2 linked regions of the Oreochromis niloticus genome follow. Each later gene encodes a partner of the first gene's protein in a complex. Links are inferred from orthologs where the notes say so. Each region holds a gene or a part of one and is shown on either strand. Other genes may lie near its edges.

The links.
Region 2: polr1h (region 1) and polr1f share a complex: the UniProt entries of both Homo sapiens proteins name them as parts of the RNA polymerase I (Pol I) complex. The link is inferred for Oreochromis niloticus from reciprocal best matches to the Homo sapiens genes POLR1H and POLR1F.

The regions. Positions count from the first base shown.
Region 1 is NC_031985.2:37,865,616-37,872,740, forward strand, and holds the start of polr1h (DNA-directed RNA polymerase I subunit RPA12), read right to left. Parts: upstream 3,022-7,125; 5' UTR 2,719-3,021; intron 2,600-2,718; 5' UTR 2,598-2,599; coding exon 2,480-2,597; intron 1-2,479. Other genes in the region: ddx39b (DEAD (Asp-Glu-Ala-Asp) box polypeptide 39B), read left to right, coding at 5,446-5,668. UniProt on the Homo sapiens protein: Core component of RNA polymerase I (Pol I), a DNA-dependent RNA polymerase which synthesizes ribosomal RNA precursors using the four ribonucleoside triphosphates as substrates. Can mediate Pol I proofreading of the nascent RNA transcript.
Region 2 is NC_031985.2:23,851,161-23,858,506, reverse strand, and holds the start of polr1f (DNA-directed RNA polymerase I subunit RPA43), read right to left. Parts: upstream 3,010-7,346; 5' UTR 2,979-3,009; coding exon 2,677-2,978; intron 1,410-2,676; coding exon 1,268-1,409; intron 1,028-1,267; coding exon 819-1,027; intron 1-818. Other genes in the region: tmem196 (transmembrane protein 196), read right to left, coding at 7,116-7,187, 7,267-7,346. UniProt on the Homo sapiens protein: Component of RNA polymerase I (Pol I), a DNA-dependent RNA polymerase which synthesizes ribosomal RNA precursors using the four ribonucleoside triphosphates as substrates.

The DNA.
Region 1 (7,125 bases):
CCTGGACCCAACTGTTCTGTCCAATTACAGGCCAATCTCAAAGCTTCCTTTACTGTCTAAAGTTTTGGAGAAAGTGGTCTACTTACAGTTGCAGGCCCACCTTGATTTGAATGTGATTTCTGAAAAAATTCAATCTGGTTTTAAATCATTACATAGCACTGAGACGGCACTTTTAAGGATTTTTAATGATATTCTTTTAACTCTGGACTCTGGTAGCCCTGCTGCCCTTTTATTGTTGGACCTGTCAGCAGCTTTTGACACGGTCGACCATGACATCCTGTTATGACGGCTAGAATTTCATGCTGGCCTAAAGGGATCTGCCCTACAGTGGTTTCGGTCCTACTTGTCAGGAAGGTCTTTTTATGTCAATATGGCCCCCATAACTCCAAACTAGCCCCTCTTAAATACGGTGTACCTCAAGGCTCTATTTTGGGTCCTGCCCTGTTTGCACTCTATTTGTTGCCATTGGGTTCCATCTTCTCGTGTTACAACATTTCATTCCACTGTTTCGCTGATGATTTGCAGATTTATCTGCCTTTAAAAGCAGGGTCTGACCGTCCCCAGCTCTTATTACGCTGCCTTGACGACATCAAACAGTGGATGTCGTTAAATTTTCTAAAGCTAAATGAAAATAAAACTTAAGTTGTCATTTTCGGCAACTTTGTCAATAATCACATCGATAGCACTCTAGGCCCCTTTTCCTCCTATTGTAAAACACATGTAAAAAACCTTGGTGTCTACCTTGATGGTTCTTTTAAATTGAATAAGCAGGTGAGTGCAGTAGTCCAGTTCTGATTCTTTCAGTTAAGACAGCTGGCCAAGGTAAAGCCATACTTCCCGGCTAACGTCTTTGAACGTGTTATTCGCCTCTTCCTTACTTGCAGGTTGGACTACTGCAATTCATTGTATTTTGGTCTCGACCAGAACTCCATTCATTGTCTTCAGATGGTCCAAAATGCAGCTGCTCGCCTGCTAACTGGGACCAAACGGAGAGAGCATATAACCCCAGTTTTAGCTTCTCTACACTGGCTTCCTGTCTCCTACAGGATCCAATTTAAACTTTTACTTTTTGTTTTAAAGTCACTTAACGTCCGAGCCCCTTCTTACCTGTCTGAGCTCCTTTCTGTTTATGCTCCAGGAAAAACCATGAGGTCTAGCTCAAAATTAATGCTTTCCATCCCACGGACTGATCTCAAATCTCGTGGCGATAGAGCTTTCTCTGTGGCAGGTCCCAGACTTTGGAATAGTCTCCCCCTAAATATTAGACCTGCACAAACACTTGATCAATTTAAATCACTACTTTTTATGCCCTGGCTTTTAACACACTATGACCCAAAAATTTTTGTCTTATTTTAATAGTCTTAGTTATTGTTTTAATTATTTTATTGTCCTATCATTGTTTTATATTGTTATTATTGTTTTACATTGTCTCTTTTTAATGGCATTTTTATATTGTTAAGCACTTTGTGCAGCATCGTCTGTCTGGCTTGCTGAAGCATTAAGAGTTCCTTTTACTGGAAATAACTCCTTAAAAACAACCCCACACCATAATCCCCCCTCCACCAAACTTTACACTTGGCTCAATGCAGTCAGACAAGAACTGCTCTCCTGGCTACCACCAAACCCAGACTCATCCATCGGATAGCCAGAAAAAGAGGCGTGATTCATCAGTCCAGAGAACAGGTCTCCACTGCTGTAGAGTCCACCACTGCTTTAAACCACTGCATCCAGCACTTTGCATTCCATTTGGTGATGTAAGGCTTGGATGCAGCTGGTGGTCATGGAAACCCATCCCATGAAGCTCTTTACACACTGTTCTGATCTAATCTGAAGGCCACATGAAGTCTGGAGGTCTGTAGTGATTGACTCTGAGAAAGTTGCCATCCTCTGCACTCAGTGCGCCTCAACATCTGCTGACCCTGCTCTGATTTTACATGCCCCACCTCTTTGTGGCTGAGTTGCTGCCGTTTCCGATCACTTCTGCTTTGCTTACCACTACCAACAGCTGACTCTGGAATATTTAGTACTGAGGACTTGACTGGACTTGTTGCACAGGTGGCATCCTATCACATTACCATGCTGGAACTCACTGAGCTCCTGAGAACAACCCATACTTTCACAAATGTTTGTAGAGGCGGTCTGCATGCCTGGGTGCTTGATTTTATACACCTGTGACCATGGAAGTGATTGAAACACCAAATTCAGTGATTTGGATGAGTGAGTGAATTCTTTTGCCACAATACTGTATATTGAGCTTAGGAAAATACAATCACTTGCTGCAAGAAACTAAAATGATCCAAAGATGGACAGCAGATAGCTCTCAGATAGCTACTCTGCTTTGCCGTTTCATTTGTACAAGCTGTATAAATATCACAGGAATATCAAGATGGAAGTGAAATGAGAAAAACAAAAAGTGAGATAGCAGCAAAATCTCTGCTGCTCATGCTCACACTCGCATAAACTCTGATATGGAATTTACCTGATACAGGGATCCTAAAAGAGCAGCCGGGGCAGCACACTACGTCCGGTATTCCTGGGAGAGGAAGAACATTCCCACACTCTGGGCAGAAGTTGGGACCACCACCAAAACACGACATCTCTGTTTCATGTAAAGTATTATTGTTATACATTTTGATATTATCAATAACTGTAAAATAGTATCGAATAAAAATTTAGACTGACTTATTTTGCTTTGTCGATTCACATTTTAGAGCTTACCTTCCAAAATAAGTTAAAGCGGTAATGTTGTTTTGTTGTCTAACACTCACTGGAGCAAAACACCGCACGTGGCACTTGAACACGTGAAGTGCAGTCGATTAAATCTGTAACTGTCAACTAACGCTGTGTTCAGCTTTCGTCGTCAGCCTTAGGCTTTAACAAAAGACTTTGATGATTTACCGTTTAATGTCTTCACAGGATTGGCAATCTAAACAAGACGCGGTTTATAGCAAAGATTCTCTGTTGTTACTTTCAGCCTGACATCTGCATGGTTACACACCGTCGGGTCCTACAGCGGTTGGTTGTCTGTCGCGTTCTACACGTCATTGTGACGCGCTAACAGTCGCGCTTTACTTTAAACAGCCGTTGACTTTTCTCTCTCGTAGTGAAGGTATGTCGATTATTAAAAGAACTGTAGGCAGTGCACGTTACCAGTACCTGCGGCAACATGACTGTCACCTCTCTGAAGTTTAATGTTGAGCCGTGAGATGTTCCAGTGAGGATATGATGAGTTCTTTGTTAGCCGCTGAGCTAATTGCAGCTAGCTGTTTAGAATACTTGGAATTTGCTTTTACGGTTATTGCTAAAAAGGCCACTCGCTGTGTTTACGTCAGCTGCCGTAATATCAGACGAGCCCGAGTGAATAACAGACATCGGGGATGGTCCCAGTTTTATGGCGACCGTAGTTTCATGTCGGTTATGATCTGCAGTGTGATGAAGAAATCTTAAAGACATATCAGTACTGCTGGATTTGAACTTTCAAAAGTCAAAACATAACTGCGCGTGTGGTTATAGCTATTTAATATTCAGCGACAATAAAAATAAAAGTTCCGGAATATTCCTTCAAAATAGAAGCTCAAAATGAAACCAGGCAATTGTTTTTTAGCACAGTGGACTGGTTCATGTTTTCAACCTGAGGTGGTGGACATCACTGGAGTCCTTATAGAAATTCTAGCCTGCCGTACAAGTTGGTGCCTCATGTTAGACACACCACTATTCTGGCATTTATGCAATATAAATTAATTTTGCAGGGTGGCACAGTTGTTAGCACTGTTGCCTCACAGCAAGAAGGTCCTGAATTCAGTTCCACCATCAGGCAACTCCACTTTATGTGTGGAGTTTGCATGTTCTCCCTGGGTTTTCTATGAGTACTCCGGCTTCCTCCCACACTCCAAAGACATGCAGTTAGTGGGGTTAGGTTAATTGGAAACTCTAAATTGCCCATGGGTGTGAATGGTTGTCTGTGTCTATGTGTTAGCCCTGTGACAGACTGACGACCTGTCCAGGATGTACCCTGCCTCTTGCCCTAAGAAAGCTGGGATAGGCACCAGTGTGACAGTACCTGGTGTTAAGTATTCTGCTTTCACTCAAAACACTTTGTAACCTTTGTACACCTTTTTAGTTCTGATTGAATTCTTTGTACCAACAATTTAACAGAGTGCAGAAAACATTTTCTCAGAGATTGTGGCCCATGTGGACATCATAACATCACACAGTTCCTGCAGATTTGTCAGCTGCACATCCATTGTAGACTGTACTATTTTTACTCATATTTGTTATCATGCTGCTGTAACACAAACATGTGGGATCAATAAAATATGTATTTATCTACACTCATGTTGTTTGTGCTAAATTCTGACCCTCCCATGCAAGTGTTGTAGCAGACTCATCAAACCAGGCAACGGTTTCCAAGCTTCTGTTGTCCAGTTGTGATGATGTTGTTCAAGTTGTAGCCTTGCTGTTGTGTTGTTAGCGGACAGGACTGGCACCTGGTGTGCTCTCCTGCCTCTGTAAGCCCACTTCATTTATCTTATGTTTTGTTATGATGCATGTCTGCAAGTAGCTAAGCAGTTTAGCAGTCTGGCCATTCTCCTCTGACCTCACACATCAACAAAGCACTCCATGGATATTTTCTCTTTTATTGGACAATTCTCTGTAAACCCTACAAAGGGTTTACACTGGATTTGTGTGGGAAAACCTTAGCAGAGACGTTTCTGCAGTACTCAGATTAGGATACAGGGCGCCAATAATCAAGGTGTGTTCAAAGTCACTTAAATCAGCGTTCTCCCCCATTCTACAGCTCTGTTTCAACTGGAGCAGGTCATAGTAATTATCTCTAAACGCCTAAAAAGCAATTCATCATTTCTCAACATTGTTGACATTTTTCAGTGTATTTGTTTTCTCTCCCCTTTTTTCTCTAATTTTTATGTATTTTTTGAGGAGGGTGAAGAATCTTTTTTATTCTTCTCTGCACTATTTTGGTCTCTGTTTATAGTTTGTTTGGTAAAAATAGAAATGGTTCTTCTCTGAAACAGTGATGAGCTGCACATGTATGTCATTCATTTATACACTGGATTGTATGGAACGATGTCCTGCATGTTTCCAAGGGACTTGGAGACCAGGGTTAATGATGTATGTCTAATTGTCAGTATAATAACAATGAAGTTGATTAGGACTTGACTTTGGGAGGGGGGATTGGGCTGCTGCACTCAGAGCATGAGCTTGAGATAGCTAGATTAAGGACATTTGCTCTCACTGACGTCTCCGAACCAGGAGTGAAAAAAAACCTGAAGTCTAAGCTGCTGGCTCCTTTTTGCACACATGCTGACCCCAATAATTATAACTTTGGCCATGTTGATCCTTTTAGCACTGTGAAAGTTTAAAAGCTCTTTGTTCCTGAAGTTTCATACACCACATTTGTTTTTCTCGTTTCGCAGCAGGGTCAGGATGACAGAAAACGACGTAGATAACGAGCTGTTGGACTACGAGGATGATGAGGTGGAGGCCGGAGGGGCTGGAGATGTTGGAGGTGCAAGTGACGTGTCGATAAGAAAGGAGGGGGTGAAGGGCTCTTATGTGTCCATTCACTCCTCTGGATTCAGAGACTTTCTATTGAAACCTGAACTGCTGAGAGCCATAGTGGATTGTGGGTTTGAACATCCGTCTGAGGGTAAGTAATTGGTGCCAGGAGGAAAATGTGGAACTGGTACAACCATTGCTGAATTTAATCACCTTTTTATCTTCTCTCTGTATTTGAAGTGTCTGATAAAGATTAATGTCAGTTCCTCCTTTAACAGAGCTGTGGTGGGTTTGTGTTGGCAATGGTAATTTTAGTTACATAGCACATTTCATTATGCTCAAACTCGATGTGCTGAACACAGAAGATAAAAACATGAAAATCTGTGTAGGTTTATGTGGTGGGGCGTGGACTGCGGTGCCGTGCGGATGCACCTGCACAGCATCCGCAATCACGCTCACCGTGTTAAAACATGGGGACTCAGGGGTTGGTGGGGTTGTGGTGGTGTGACAAATGTTGAATAAAGATGGCTCAAAACACAGATCTGCGGTCCCGCCGTGCCTTAATTCCACCACACTGGTGCCGAAACCCAGGACGCGGCGGGGTGCGTCCACACGGCACCGCAGACCACGCCCCATCACAGTTTGCAATCTAAATCATTGTAAACCTACCGTGAAAACAGCAAAATAGAATAGAATGCCATTTATTGTCATTGTAAATGTACAACAAATGTATAGGTGCTCCATAGACAGCAGGAATAAATGACAAACATAGCCATATGTACAATCTAGAGGAAAATGTGAAAAAAAAAGACTAAGGCACAGATTGGAGTGCTTGGAAGTGGTGCAAAGGTCTGACTGTAGAGCATGTATGTGAGAGGCCTGAGTGATGAGGGTTGCTCAGATAATGGCTCAGATTGGTGAGGTGGTTGGCAGGGCGTGGGGGGTTTGGGCATAGTGTTTGTTAACTATCAAGGGGAAGAAGCTGTTTGTGAGTGTGAAGGTTTGGGACCTTCACACTCACGGGATGTGAGTGAGGTGATGTAACCATCACCTTTGATGGACCTGGTTTTTCTGAAACAGGAGGAGCTGGCGATGGCTTCCAGGGATAGCAGAGGGCAGCCAGATTTTTTAGGCGGTGTTAATTACAGTCTGTGCAGCCTTCCTGTTCTCCGTCGTGGCGTCTGCGTACCAAACAGCCAGGCAGTAGGAGAGTACGCGCTTCACTGAGGAGCAGTAGAAGGCCAGCAGCAGCTTGTGATCAAGGTTATTCTTCCAAGAACCTGAAGGTGGAGACAGATTCCACCCGCTGTCCATTAATAATAATAATAATGATGATAATAATAATAATAACTTTATTTATAAAGCGCTTTCAAACAAAGTGCTGTACAGCTATTTGAAACTAAAAAGATAAATGAATAAAAGCGATACATAGCAATACAAGTAAAAAACAGTAAGAATTTAAAAACTAGAAGGCATAGAATTAAGACATGTAAGATAGGGTGAACAAATGTGTCTTCAACTTAGTTTTAAAAACTTCCACAGAGCATGCCTCCCTAATATCTTGAGGGAGGTTGTTCCAAAAAAATGGGGCAGGAAACGAAAAGGCAC
Region 2 (7,346 bases), about 14 Mb from region 1:
GTTAGACTTCTTCATTTTCATCTTCAGTGATGTAGCAACTCCTAAAGGGAGCATAGCATCTCTAGCATCCTCCTCCTCTGAGGTCTTCCTGTTTTCCTCCTCTCAGGCAGCTCCATCTTCAGCATCCTTTGTCCCATATATCCAGCATCCCTCCTCTGCACATGTACCGCTCAACCGGAGCTGTCCCTCTGATTTTCTCATTTCTAATCCTGTCCATTCTGGGCACTTCCAGTGAAAATCTTAACATTTCGAACTCAGCCTCCTCTCTTTTCGTCAGCGCCACCATCTCAGAGCCATACATCAGAGCAGGTCATCTTATAAACCTTCCTTTTCACTCTTGCTTCTTTCCTTCTGTCATAAATCAGCCCCAACACTCGTCTCCATCCTGCCTGCGCTCTCTTCCTATAACGTTAGATTCAGTTTTAAACTTGTTTTGATCTTGTAGATGATTCAGAATTTGAATTGTTGTTACTCTCTTTATCTCCACAGTCCAGATGAAATGTGATTCAGAGACAATTTTGTTGTACATTTGGATTTTGTTGACTAAATGCCTTGTTCAGTACATGTAGTCATACATTGCTCAGCCGGGCTGAAGACACAAGTGTACAATCGTGCTGTTTAACGTCGCTTTGACTTTTTCTCCTCCCATACCAGCGCTGATGTGAAGGTCTGAGTTGCTCGCCTATCGTTCAGGAGAATACTGCAGTGGCTACTCGTGTGATGATGCTACCGGCAGTGCACAAAGTGACGAGTACACTGGGGCCTTTAGTTTTGCCCCGAAGCTACTAAAATCACCATCACTGATACTGCACACTTGCCTGGTCTTGTCCAGTCGTCCTCTGATCAGCAGCACCCCAGCAGTGTCGGCGTCGAGCGCCGTCACATCAAACTCCACCTCTGATCCGATCCTCGGCCCCGCGTCTCTCCATGTTTCCACAGAAACCAGATTCGGTCTGGGAATGCTGGCATTGAAGCAGCCGTGCACCAAGCAGCCTACGTGGCTTATTCCCAGTTTATTTACCTTACCCTACAAACAGACAAATACGTGATACACGCTGTTAGTTATTGTATTTTATCAGAGGCACTTTATCACTCCCACAAAATACAGGTACGCCTCAGAGCAGCAGGTTTTAATATGTCACTTGTTTGAATATTACAACAATAGTAAACACTGAAAAGTGCAGGTCTCGTTTAACAGACACTATATGTCAGGTAAAGTCCCGTCAGCTTCTCCGCTTCTACTAAATAATGTAAATGTAAATCTCACCCGTAGTTTTTGTCCTTTTTGCGGCTGAAAAACAATAAAGCTGGCTTCCACGTCCACGTGGATGTAGCCGCTGTCGTCGTAAATGTCTCCGAGGTGTCTCACTATCCTGATGTCGTCGTAGGCTAAGGGGACTCCGTTCAGACTGAAAGACACAACAGTAACGAGGTCATCTTGTGCATTAACAGTTTATTTAAACTGAAAAACCTTTTTGCGTTACCATTACTGGTTTTAATGCCTCACCGAGGCCACGCTCAGTGATTCATGCATAAAATACATTTTGCAGACAATCACACATTGTTTGTACTTTTACCTCTGCAGAGCACCACAGTGGATTCTAAAACAAACCATTAAGATGTGATTCAAGTTCAGATTATAAACTTTAACTCGGAGGGGTTTAACAAAATAACTACATTAACTGTTTAATCCTCAATTTTCAGAGGCTCACAAGTAACGGGACAGTTCAGTAACACTGAGTAACAGGTGTCTGTTTTTAGCCAGGAGAGGCCTGCTCTCTCTGTTAAACAATAAATTAAGCAGATAAAGGATAAAGGATCTGGAGAATAAAGAATTTTAAACTTGTATTTTGTAGCTGTTCCCTGGAATTATCATTATGTGGCCCAAAGAGATATCAGTGCACACAAAGATGATCTTCATCAGGCTGAGAAACCAAAGTAAAGCTATAAGAGAGAGCAAAATCATCTGTCAACCCGGTGGAGGAAGTATTAAAGCATGAGCATGCATGGCTGCCTGTGGAGCTGCATCGCTGGTGTTTATAGATAATGTGACAGCAGGACGACCTGGGGATCGTCTCTGCTCAGATTCAGACAAATGCTGCAAAACTAATCAGCCAGTGCTTTACAGTGCAAATGGACAATGACCCGAAGCACACTGCAAATCCCCAAGGGTTTCCCGAGGGAAAGAGCAGAGATAATCGTCAATGGCCAAGTTACCTGATCTCTACCAAATACAGCAGGTTTTCAGTTACTGAACTAACAATTGAATGCAGTTATTGCCCACAAATAAGCAGCAACTGCTGGCTGCAGTAAAGACCTGCTAGAGCTTCTCAAAGGAAGAAACCGCAGTTGGTGATGTGATGTTCATGACTTTTAGACTTTAGGCACTCATTGACTGTAAGGGATTTAAAAACACATTTAAACGGAGTTAGATTATGTGTCTATGGCTGTATTTTCCGGACAAACAATGCACTGATTTTGTTAAAGTCCCTGAATTAAAGCTGAAAGTCTGCGTTTCATGCGTAGCTACTAGGTTCATGAACTTTTACAACACACGAGACGGCTAGAAGACATCCCAGCTCGTGTGCGTGTTTGCGTACGTGGGAAAGTGGACTGTCCGGCTGAAAATGCTTTATTGACTGGATAAAATCGTCGGCGGGGGAAAAAAAGAAGCACCTTTGAGAGAACTTGAGCAGCTCGGCCTCCAGCTCCTCCTTTATCCCCGTCTTCTTCTTGTTCAGATACACGGGCGGCAGGGCGATGTGTCTCCGGTGGGTGTTCATGACCAGACACGAGTACGGCGCTGACAACAGCTCGGAGGCAGCGGCGAACGACGGGATCGATAACGGGAGGGCGGCAGCAGTGTTTACCGGTGCTGGGGTCTCTTGGGCCGCCTGGTCCGGGACGGACGCGTCGGGAGTTTCACCGGACATTCTCACATGTTTTGGGTTGTCTTCACCATGCTCCAAATTCGCCATGTTGCGTAGAAAGACCGGAAGACAAACAAGAGGTGACTTCCGCTTTGCATTTGTTATTGTTGCCCCCTGCTGGTGAAGAAGAGAAGCGCACCCCACAAACTTCATACTGCAAGCTTATTTCATAGTTTATTTTAGATCCCATTCACTATCTTTACGTAATGATTGTCAAAAAGTATTGTGTTTAATAGTTTTTTAGACACAGAAATATTCTAAAAACCTTGAAATAATTAGAAAATATGAAGAATTGTATAACTTACTGCCCCTTTTGTCTGCAGAGCACAGACTGAATCATCATCAAAACACTTTTACACTGTTTAACGATGATAAATGAGTGACTGCAGACTTAATGGCTGTTCATGGATAGTCTGTGTGCAGTAATGCTTTAATGTTTCCTGGCATAACATGTTGATGGATTTAAATATTGCATGTGGCCAAACTGTCTGTTAGTTTAAATAATGAATGTCCTGTGTAACATGGTGAACTTATTCCGAGTGGCTATTTCATTTTCACATTTTAAATTTGTAAATTAAATTTAGCCCTGCAAAGTAACTGCAGCCACAGATAAATATGTTTCATCTGAGCAAGCACCTGGCGGCAGTGGGAAGGAAGAACTCCTCTTTAACAGGAAGAAACCTCCTGCAGAAGTAGGCTCAGGCATTCGCCAGCATCACTTTTAGCTTTAGACAAAATTTTAGCAAATTAAAACGAGCACCATGTGGCTTTGCTGTTGTAAGTAGCTGTTATGATGCTTACGTAAGTTACCTGATGCCCTTTGTTATGTAATCTACAAGTTCGGCCCTGATAGGCCTGGCAGGGATGCTGTTAGGGAGCTCGTGTGGTAGGAGGTGATCATTGATTCTGTATCCCATTCTCACCCGCAGAGCCACATTAAGATCATTAGGGTGACCTGAGGTGTCAATTAGTGCAACTAGTGCAGCGTGTCCAGCCATACACACAGGCATACACTGAAAATATCCTGACACATGCACAGATGTATCTAGTGTTACTGTTTTCTGACAGGGCAGCACCGCAGGAGGTCACATGATTCAGCGTTTCTCTCTCTTTATCACACACACTCTCACAGGAATCGCAGACCCGGTGCTCTGTTAGGAGCCATGGCCCTTTCCTGTCTGTTGTCACGGTGATAAATAGTGCATGGTTTCTTAGCTCCCTGTGGCTTCTGCTGCTGTGGGCCCCAGTCAGCACACAAACATGCATAAATGCACACAGATGCACACACATCTCTGTTTGGAGCTTCTCTCTGGAGTTGGCGAACACTGTAATGAGGTGCTGAGCAGCAATGATGTTGTCAGAGCTTATCTTCATAAGAGGTCACAGCTGTGTCTGTGTGCAAGCATCTGTGTGGAGGAAACAGGTTTTTATTGCTCTTCCTCCTTTGTGAAGCATTTTAAGCTTGCAGGTCTGACGGGTGCTATGAAACTGATTTACTTTGTCACTTAACTTTACGACAAGTGTGGGAACCCTGAACAGCATCATCATTGCCTTAAACTGTGGTCTCATGAGAATGCAGTGGCTTTCTGAATTGATGATGCTATGAAGGACTGGAACTGCCAAAATCTAAAATTCAACCCAACAAATATATTATTGTCATTATAACCATCAACATGGATTTTGATCATTTTGATCATTTTCTTTGTATTTAATTCAGTCTCTATTAATTCTCCTGCTATGCATTTTCCTATATAACTTCCCTTGTTATTTACTGATTTTTTCATTATTTAATAGCTTAGTTATAAAAGAACCATACTGGATAAAGAAATTAAAAATGTTAAATTAAAAAATAGAGACAGGAAATATATTGGGGACAAATGTGGTAGAGGAAATAATGCATAAGTACATAGTTTGTAAATGACTCAGTGAATAAAATGGCACATAAAATAAAAGAAGAAGTATAAGGCATGAGTGGACAAGCAAAAATAGATAACTGCTGGATGGTATTACACAGGGATTACATGAGGATGTGGGATCTATGGGTTCTTTGACAACCAGCATCTAGACAAACATCAAACTTGAACTTCAGTGCTCCAACATCCACAAGATGCAACTGCTATTGCAATGAGTGACTGATTAGGTACAACACAAAAAATAAGGGGACATTATGTCAGAGGAATGTCATCATCTCCACACTTTCTGGGTATCAAGCCCCCCAAAACAACTGGTACTTTGAATGCAAGAACAGCTGACCTGGAAGAGAATATCATGGCTTTGGTTTCACCCCAAGTCCAGCTCCCTGAGACTTTACTCTAAGCAGAAGGAAGGAGGCAGAAGAGCACAGAGTTTCAGAAACACTATCCAGGATAGTAAATAAATATCCAGGCATTCAGGCAGCAGTATTCCCAGAAAGAAGAGGAGCAAGAAGAGGAACCATCATGGAAGGACAGGCCCCTGCACGGCATGTGCCATTGTCAGTTATAGAGAAATTCTAAGCACAGGATTGATAGAGGCTGGGGTCTACCACACCAGGCAAGACCACAGGTGTAGGCTGTGTAAAGATGCCCCTGAGACAGTCCAACACATAACAGCAGGATGCAAGATGCTAACAGGCATGGCATACGTGGAACGCCATAACCAAGTGGCCAACATAGTATACAGAAACATCCGTGCTGAGTATCACCTTGAAGTCCCAAGATCAAAATGGGACACACCCCCTGGGTTGTCGAGAATGACCAAGCTAAGATCCTGTGGGACTTCCAGATACAGACAGACAAACTGGTGATGGCTAACCAACCGGACATAGTAGTGGTGGACAAGCAGAGCAAGACGGCTGTATACCGAGTGATAGGAATTAGGAAGAAGGATCACGAGAAGCTCGAGAAGTACCAATGGCTGAGAGAGGAACTCGAGAAGATGTGGAGGGTGAAAGTAACAGTGATCCCAGTGGTAATCGGATTACTCGGTGCAGTGACTCCCTGAACAGGGCGAGTAGCTCCAGCAGATCCCAGGAACAACACCCAAGATCTGTGTACAGAAGAGCACAGTCCTAGAAACAGCAAAGATACTGCGCAGGACCCTCAAGCTCCCAGGTTCTGGTAGAGGACCCGAGCTTGCAGACCGCCCACAAGGTGTGAGATGGTTGCTCTCTAATGTGTGTTTTGAAAAAAACCCCACCTGGATTTCGTTAATATGACTGAGTCATTTAAATACGGTTCTTCGTAGTGCGATTTTTCAGTGTGTTATTTTAACCTTTGGGTGTTACTATCACCTACAATGATGTAGTGTATTGATTAAAATGCTGAAATCTGGCTTACGAACTGAAAAGTAATTCCCATCACAATTTTACTTAAACCTCACATACTTCACAAACACAAACACACTTCCACAAACATGCATGTTCATGTACTATAAACACACAAACTGGCAACTATGTAAGTAAAAAAAAGGCTAGTCTGCATAAACAGCGATCATAAAACCAGATTCATCTCAACATGTATTTAACAGAGCAACAGTAAAACAAAATGCAAGACTGTGCAATTCTTTTATTAGTCGTACTTTAATTGAATGAACTTTATAAGAAGCATTATAAAAATATGTTTGATTTACAAGCATGGATACATACAGTACATTGTGCATTACTGTAATTTTTTTCTCTCAAAGCATTCCATTATCAGATGATACATACAGTTTACCAAAGGCTATCTCAAGATCTGGATTCCATAAACCAATAACATGACAGAGAGGGAGAGAATAAGGACGATGAGACTGAAATAGCTCTTCTAAACAAGTGAATCAGCTGCATGCTTGGTTTGTGCTCATCACTTTGATCTGACTGGATGAAATGTATCCTTCCCGCTCACAAATTGGAGGATTTCACGCAGATGTCTGTCACCTCATTTGTCATCCAAACGGCAGCTCACCATCCCGGCTTTGGTGTGAGTTAAACCGAAGGTATTTGAACCCATGTTTGCATAATATTCAGAAGCACAAACGGCTCCTTCATGCCGTCCGCTTCACTCAGTCAGCAGGTAAACGGGTTCCAAGGCGACAAATTTGGTTCAGTCCCTGCAGTCAGGATACAGTTAAACGCAGTCTACTACAAGCTGCATTAGCTGCGTGACAGCATGAGTTTTAGTAACTGCTCCTGTTTAAGACTGCAAATCATCTCCTGCTGAAACTTCCTCAAGGAGACGCCGCGGTGTGTCCATTATAGGAGATCTGAGGAATACCATTACTGGAGTTGTCCAGGACCTCCTGTTAGAGACACACAAACACAAACCTGCTTAACAAACACTTCCAACAGCGGCTGAAGATGAATCATGCAGTTTACTACCTTCTCTGTCATCTCATGGGAATGATGTAGCGAGTGTTCCCTCTCCAAGAACATCCTTTGCTGCTCCGAGCTTGCCAGGC